Linked DNA regions of Schizosaccharomyces pombe. The gene in region 2 interacts genetically with the main gene of each other region. Each region holds a gene or a part of one and is shown on either strand. Other genes may lie near its edges.

Region 1 (5,068 bases), on a different chromosome or scaffold from region 2:
TTAAAACAGCAACTGATAAAATTTGTTTGGAGGAACAAAGTTTTTTTATTTGGAATCCTTGCGTTGTCAGGAGTTATTTTTAAGCTCATCAATTTTTTTCGTACTCGCAGTATCGTAGCAAAGTATCTACCATCGGCTTCTCGATTCTGTGTAGAATCTTTGAAGAGACAGAAAGCAAATTATCAAATGTCTCGATCTCAAGAACCCGTTATACCACTAATCGAAATGCATGATATACTCTTTCATGGAAATGGCCCATTGGAACAAATTCATATGACGAAAGCAACTGCTCGAACTCTTTGGGAAGCAATAGTCGAACGTGTTGAACAAGTTGGCAGTGTAAGAACTCGTGAATCAGAAGTAGACGGCGAATGGACCCGTGTATGGGAGTGGGTCGGCACAAATACTTTGGATTTCCAAACCGATCGTTCATTTATTAATACAACTTCCCCTTTACGTGAATAATGATTCTCGACTGTATTTCTAGCTTTGTATTTATGACATTTTTCATAGCTAATACAAAAGTAAGTTAATAATATATTTATCTGAATGCTTATACATATTAAAAATGAAACATAAAATTGGTATAATGAGGACTTGTTTGCAAGGTTGATGAAATTTAACTGTATTTCTTATATTAATGTGATTCTTAGTTATACCAAATAAATTATTTTAAAATAAAAACCAAAACCAGTACCATTTTTGATTGAATATGGGCATGTCTAGAGTAAGAAATTAGCGGAGAAAAAATAGGACATGTCACATAGAAAGGGTATTTAAAAAAAAATAAAGGAATTCAAAAGGGAGATTCACCCAACATTACGGTTGAAGATTCGTAGTCTGTGTCTTCTTCTTCCTCGTCATCATCCAAACCTGGAATTTGTTGCCATTCGTTATAAAATGGTTGAACAATTATAGAAGACTTCGTAAGCCGGTAAGGATCAAAGGGAAAATAGGCATCCATAGTGTCGAACCCTTCTCTAAAAATTCCTTTTCTGTTTTGCTCAATAATGGAATAGACGTACATAAAATTGAGATGATTTGCAACCTTTGCAAATTGAAGTACAATATTGGGGGAACAGTATCTCAATGGATTAAGCCGAGAAAGAACGGACCGATGAAGTATCTCTAAGCCCGGTATCCATTCGTTAGGTCTTGGCTCCATGGATTCAGACTCATCAGAGACACAAAGTTCACGCCAACGAAAGCAAAATATGTAAAAAATACTTTGATTAATTGCGTAAAAAACCGAGTGTTTAGATAGTAAATCATCGGACAGCTCGTTTTCACATTGATCTAAGTAAGCTTCAACCCAACGAGTCATCATATTAACGATGATCTGAATTGTATTTTTTTCTAAAGCTTTGGCTCTAGCAACGTAAGACCCAATATACATTGCACCACTTAATCTTAAAGTATAAGGTTGTGATGGGTCAAGACAAACTTCCGTAAGCACTCCAAGGAAAATATCAGTAAACTCGGGATCCAACTGAGAAGCCCAAAATATCAAAAATTGAGTATATCGACAACGGAACGTTTTAAGGACCGTGTTCACAAATGATTTAATCAAACTATTATAAACCAAGTAACGATCTCTACTAGTAGATTTTAAATTGGAATCTAAATAAGAAAATAAAGTATACAATAGCTGATCCAGTTGCTGCATCAATTGACGAGTGTCTGTTAATGAGGGAGGAGTCAATATTGTGCTAGATGTCATTTCACTTGAAATAGCAGTATGCCGTTCATATAACGTTGAAGCTGTAATAACTTCAGAATCGGCATTGCTAGTTCCATCATCATCTGTTACCACTTCATCCTCCTCCTCATCATCATCATCAACCTCTACTTGTATTTCCACATCAATTTGGATAATTTTATCAATTATTGCATGCAATACAGGACCTTTAATTGATGGTACATATTCACATATACTTAAAACGTTCGAAATATAAGTCATCTGTGCTAAAAGGCTCTCGTCCTTGTACGGAAACTCCTCAAGTATGCTACTATACAAGAAGGAATGCGCACGGGGAACAAGTTCCAACACATATTTTAAAGCCATATGAGCATGTTCATAATGGATTGCTAAACTATCAGGCCGATACAACATATGCTGAATCAGCATAGTCATAACTAGCGGCAAGTAATTAGATTGTGCAGATATGAGATTTCCTAAAAATCGAGTATAGCATCTCACAAAGGACTCATCTCTGCTCACCCAAACAGAATCTAGTACGCTCATAACTAAAGAAGAATTAGAGCTATCCAATCTGGAAACATTGCACGTCAAAGCCGACAATAAGTTTTGAAGTTGCAGAGAGGAAGGTGCATCTTTAGTATCACTTTTTGCAGCAAACTGTCTTCTAAGATCTTCATAACCGGCAAAATTTCCTTCTGCTTTGTCGTCCAAAGCTTTATTGACGAAAGCACGTAACATTTGTTGCATTAATCGTCCATCATTTTTGGAAACTGAAGAGGCAAAACTTTTGGAACCTACAGTACGATCGGGAACATTTGTAGAAGATGCCATTGTCCCGTTGTTAACACATTTATTAATATATTGAGGATTCGTAGAGGAAATGATGGAAGGCATTGTAAAGACGAGATAAACACTTGCACTAATCACAGATAAAGGAATGGATGCAAACAAAAAAATAATAAGAATAACACTAGCGGATAAATTCACGTATGGTTATTCTAAACTTTGTAATAGTTAGTTTCAAAGTTAAACCAAAACTTAAGAGTAAAGTAAATGTGGAAATAAACTGTTTCAAGTCAAGTTGACCCAATTGCTTAAAAAACCAAACATTGCTATATCTCTCTTATTAATAAAACATTTCCTTACAATTTCCAAAAACTAAGCCGTTAATTTGCTTCGAAAAGCTAAATTTTTAGAAATTTACAGGACTTCCCACGAATGAATTTTACACCCCAAAAACTTTTCGGTGTCTCAAATGAGTCAGATAAAATAATCAAAATAAATTTGTAAGATAAAACAAATTTAAATTATAAGAGTGATCATTAATTCATTCAACGTAAAAGCAAACCATGTGTGGCGGTTGGCAGAAACTATGCTAACAGTTTGTAAAGAAAATTTGAGTATATACTGAAATGCAGCGCATTGCGCTCTTTGCTAAACAATGCAATATAGATACCGATTTCTAATGTATGCTAAGTTAAAAACTATGTAGATACCAAATTAAGTGTAATATTAAACAAAGAAAAGTAGGGATCTTCCAAATAAAACCGGATCGAAAATCAATTAAACAGAATAAATAAAGCGTGATAATTGTTTTCTTCAAATACCAGAGTTCCTTCGATTACTAGTAGAACGTCTGCGGCGCTCTCTCAAAGATGCATTTAAATCTTTGTATGCCTGTTTGTACATTAAATACATTTTTTTCGATAATTCGCCAATATCCTTGTTACTTCTTCCTGAAATATAATAGTAGTTTTCATCCTGGTATGTAAAAGCGACACGACGATATGGACCAGAAACGTATTTATCCTTAGGGATTATAGTGGCAGCATAGGGATAAGTAGAGTTATCCGGTGTTGGGTTTAAAAAGGAATTTGAGCGCTCCATCCATGCAGGAATAGTGGTAGTCTTCATGTTGATGTTAGGCTCTGCCAAATAAATTGCAGCCGCACCCTGGCTAATGGCACCTAACACTTTGATCTTTCTGTTATCCTTAACCTCTTCATCCGGTTGAATTGTACGACATGAATGGATGTAAGGAACCAGGCTGGCATGTAAAAGTGGGTCTTCTAGCATCTCACGCACGAATGGATTTCTCCCTCCAGTTATGAAAACAGCACTAAAATTATCAAACGTAAAACCATTTGATCGATAGCATTTTGGATTGTTGAACTCATTCAGAGTACAGAGAACGCTATATATGTCTAAGATTTCCTTAGAAGCACCGAGTACATGACTCTTCCAGCCGGTCATATAAGAATCATTAGGTTTCGGGGGTCTTGGAGGAAATATGGATTCGGCGATTACGAATTCAACTACAAACCCGCGATCTGTAAAATACCTCCAAGGTAGACATACTTGCTCCAACATGAACCCCTTATCAGCTAAAACGATAGCTAAATGAGGCGACAATTTGGCATCCTTACCAAATACCGGAGCATTCACTGAAATGAGGTCGTGCTTGGGATGAATTGCAGCATTATAGTTGTCAAATGAGTTCATTTTTGAAACCTGAAAGGAAAATGCCATCGTGCTTAAAAACCAGTTAATCCTCCTTTTTTAAAAAACAATTTAAAATTAATAGCACTGTAGATTGTATATTAGTTATATGTCTTACACAAGAAACCTGGAAAAGTGGGTAAAGGGATGATTGACCCCCTTAATATATTACCTTATGTTTAGGTCAACCAAAATGACACGATTCTACAGGGTTTCGATTTTTTACAAAAATTTAGCGGTATTCAGAACGCCTTTCGCTTCTTCCAAAGCTTCGTTCAATGGGTAGTGGTTTGACTTGCTGATCATATATAATTTATGTATTTGATTATTTACAAATCACCTAATTGGTAGAAATACTTTTTTAACAATTTGTACAAAAGCATAGATCTTTTTGTTGCTTATAACTGTAGAATACAATGTAATAGGTTTTCATCAATTATGCTGGCCTGATCAAATATATGAAATTAATCGAATCTGTAAAAGGACTTAGTTTTACAAACTAACTTAGCATTCAGGACATTTCATCAATTCACCAACATTAATTTACATGGGCAAGGAAACTGTTGCTTTTTCTGTACTTTTAATTCCTACTTTAACCCTCTATGAACTAGTATGCGGCTCAAAGTCTCCTGCACCGAATTTCCAATTCAACAATGGGTTGAGACTTCTAGTCTTGAATTAGTTGACTCTGTTAATTGTGTGGCAGATTTATGCCATGCCATATGGATGTTTAATGGAGGATGTGCGGATTGGAGGCTTCAAATACTTAAAGAAGGATTTACAGTTCCGATGACGGGAATTATCTCACAATATCTTAAAACTGACGACCACATTAAAATTGTGAAGGAAATTTATCCTCCGAATTTA
Region 2 (3,272 bases):
ATTTATTGCACTCTAAAGTGATCAAATTAATTCATATTGCTTAATGATCAATTTGAGATAATTGAAAAAATTTTATTATTGATGTTATTATTAAAATACAGAAAAACAAACGTGGTAATAAAACTTAAGCTTATTTGTCTAAGCATTGATGTGTTATAAGTAGATCTCGATTTATTTAAAGAAGATATTAATCCTTCACCTGACGTATTAAATCAAATAGTGCTTTTTGAAGATTTTAACCAATTATTTTGTCAATAAATTGCAGGCTAACTGGCTGTCCATAAGTTATATTAAACTGTCGAATTTATAAATAAATAGTTCCAAACGCTTGGGTTGTGGAAAGCATTCAATGTCTATATGCAACAAATTGAAAATGAGAGTATCACTAGATGAAATCAAAAGTCTAGAAAAAAGATAACTATGAATTATCATTCATTTCATTCCTTAAGCTTAAATCAACAATTGCCTACTTTTATAAAATCATACAATTGAAAGTACATACACACCGCTTCAAAATAACTTACTGTTTAGTTTTAGCGCGATTCTATAAACCGGAATTTCTTAGGCAAATATCCATAATCATAAGTAACCAATCCTTTTGTATTTTGAATATAAATACTTATTATGAATTTGCTAGCGTCCCTTGAACCATAGTCAACCCAGCTTCTCTTTGTATACTAGATTAACTGTTAGTCATAATTTAATCAAACTTTAGTTAAAACAGTATATAGTTTACGACATACCCATCTACTACAAACTCCAAATCTTTACCAGGCTCCAGAATATTTCCATCATTTGTCTTCCAACGACCTTGTTCTTCCGTAGTATCGGGCTCAATAAAAATCCAATCTTTAGGTATAGATTTTCGCGGAATAGATGCATTAAAAATACCCAAAATTAATAGACCAATATGACTTGGACTGACTAAATTAATTTTTCCTTCTAGTGATAGTTAGCATTTATTTTGGAGTTGGTATAAAATTTTGCACGACTGAATTATCATGATACAAATCCATCATAGAATCTCGAATTTCTAAGCATTTCATACCTAAACAATCGCCTTTTTTGGGAGAAAATACTAAAACGTCTACACGGACCCATATAAAGGAGAATGGGGAGTCATACATGACCTTTGCACTTTTTTCCAGGAATCGAATATTGTCGTACGCCAACACTATTCCATTGATTCTTGGGAGTTTGCTAAGAATCATACTATCCATATGCTCCTGAATAGCATTTAAAGGATCCCTGCTGTGTCCAGGAGCAATGGAAAGGTATAAATCTACAGTCTGTTTGTAGAGTGATAAATCCGGCATGTTGGCGGAACGCAAATTTCCTTCATCGACTGCATCCAGTTTTACAGATATGTTCAAGGGTAAACAAAGCTCTTCAATTGATCAACCAAGGTCATATATAACATATCATGTCTTCGAGAAAGGTTAACAGCTAAATAGGCGATACTATGGCATCAATAGAAATGCCAATTCTGTAAATGACACCATGTCACTACAGTGCTCAAGACATTGAAATTTTTTTTTTAATTACAATAAGAAATACTTTACCTTTTTTTTCTCTTATTTAAATGAAGAATATTATTGAGACAAAATAAGTGAATCGCTCATTACTATACAAATAGTGTCTATTTAATATAGCTAAAATTATTTCAAGATTTTTTTGATATCTTATTGAAAAAAAGATTTTGTAACGCGACTACCATGGAATGGTTGCCATATTCTAAGATGTTCCCAAATAAATAGTCAATTCTTAACCGCTTATGATATGGAATTAAAAGTGCAATACGGTTAATTTAGCATAAAAACTGAAATTCCTTCCTAAAGCTCGAACGTTTTTCAGCTTTGAGACTGTACATTTAGAAACGAAACAAAGGTAATCAAACCCAAATAGTAAACCAATGTTTCACATAAAACTTTTTCGCCCTAATATATAAGAAAATGGAATGCATCTAGTTTTTAACAGGTCGGAGCTTAAAATTTAGGGAGATGAGACTAAAGCACAATGCTTTTAAATCTTGAATTAGGTAGTAGAAAACTTTTAGCCCTTCTGGATCATCACTATTTTGAACGTCTGCCAAACTTCCAAGTTTACAGGTCTAGTAGTTTATATTAGCTTAAAAGTATCTAGAATGAATATATTTATGCCAAATGAAGAGCAATCTTACTTCAAACATGATGTGTTTTCCATTCATACGAATTTCAAGTTCCTGCTTACCATCTTTATTTTCAGGTGGCCAACTTTCATCTGATTCTCTAAATAGTAGTTAGTATAAAAAATTGAAAGAAATGACTTGCTTTATGATCTCACTGTCATCTACAATACGTTGAACTTCTTTTAAAACAAGCTCACTGACGAACACTTTAAGGCTTTGTTAATACGATCGAACAGAAATGTAGTACTAAAACATACTCTCCTTTCGGATTAACGAATCGTTCCGATAGTTAGAATTGTTTGCGTATCTAGCTAATTGAATTAGTATTCATGTCAAACCACTGTTGCTAATATGAATCAGAAAATTGTTGACTCTATTCATACCTAGCCCATCACTATGATAATCGAATTCTAGCAAATGTTTGGTTAGCTGCGCGACCTTGCGTCTAATATTATCGCGTACCCAAGAACTCGTGTCCGAATCGACCATGGTGTCCCGAGCTTCAGTCAGTTAGCATTCAAAACTATTTACAGCTTTTTTGCATACTAGTATCGAACATAAAAATCACTCATTTTCGAGCAAATAGGAATATGATGGCTTCGATGACTACTGCTGAGAGGTAAACTCTTGGTCAAAGATACGAAGCATATAGTGATTCACTATTTTAAATAACACAATACACTAGTGCATCCAATTTTTGGAGCTCGACAATCAAAGTTCGTGGGTAATTCAATATACAGTGTATCTTTGATGAATTCGTTGACATTATATATTGACTGCTAAGTCTATATCTGTAAATCAAAGTCTTTTAATTCCTTAAAGGCTTTTTCCAAATTCAGGTTAAATCTTGACAAGTTATTTTTCTGGGACCTTTTAACGTTCCACGACTTATTTCACTGCATTTACAAAAGTTATTCTGGCACTGTTGCATCTTTTATCGCTAGTTTGTGATCCTTGGGTTGTTTTTTATTAAGACTACGGTTTGATTTTTTTATTGTAACATATTAAATCGAGCTTTTGACAGGCTTCATTTATGTTATTTATATATCGACATTCACAGCTGTCATCCAAAAATATTTTTTTTAAAGGTAGCTAAATAAAGCGA

What was found. Genes that interact genetically often act in the same process or in processes that back each other up.
Region 1: of rpa43 (region 2) and rrn3, extra expression of one rescues a mutant of the other (dosage rescue), as found in Schizosaccharomyces pombe (one study listed by BioGRID).

What each region holds. Positions count from the first base shown.
Region 1 is NC_003424.3:2,236,200-2,241,267, forward strand, and holds rrn3 (RNA polymerase I general transcription inititation factor subunit Rrn3), read right to left. Parts: upstream 3,065-5,068; 5' UTR 2,849-3,064; intron 2,706-2,848; 5' UTR 2,597-2,705; coding exon 797-2,596; 3' UTR 513-796; downstream 1-512. Other genes in the region: lem2 (LEM domain nuclear inner membrane protein Heh1/Lem2), read left to right, coding at 1-465; SPOM_SPAC18G6.12C (uncharacterized protein), read right to left, coding at 3,302-4,231; SPOM_SPAC18G6.13 (uncharacterized protein), read left to right, coding at 4,814-5,068.
Region 2 is NC_003423.3:3,999,915-4,003,186, forward strand, and holds rpa43 (DNA-directed RNA polymerase I complex subunit Rpa43), read right to left. Parts: upstream 1,330-3,272; 5' UTR 1,317-1,329; coding exon 1,049-1,316; exon of another isoform or gene 943-1,048; coding exon 744-942; exon of another isoform or gene 678-743; coding exon 623-677; 3' UTR 553-622; downstream 1-552. Other genes in the region: mnh1 (protein mago nashi), read right to left, coding at 1,964-2,110, 2,180-2,267, 2,310-2,373, 2,425-2,478, 2,551-2,577, 2,630-2,667, 2,714-2,739. UniProt on the Schizosaccharomyces pombe protein: DNA-dependent RNA polymerase catalyzes the transcription of DNA into RNA using the four ribonucleoside triphosphates as substrates. Component of RNA polymerase I which synthesizes ribosomal RNA precursors.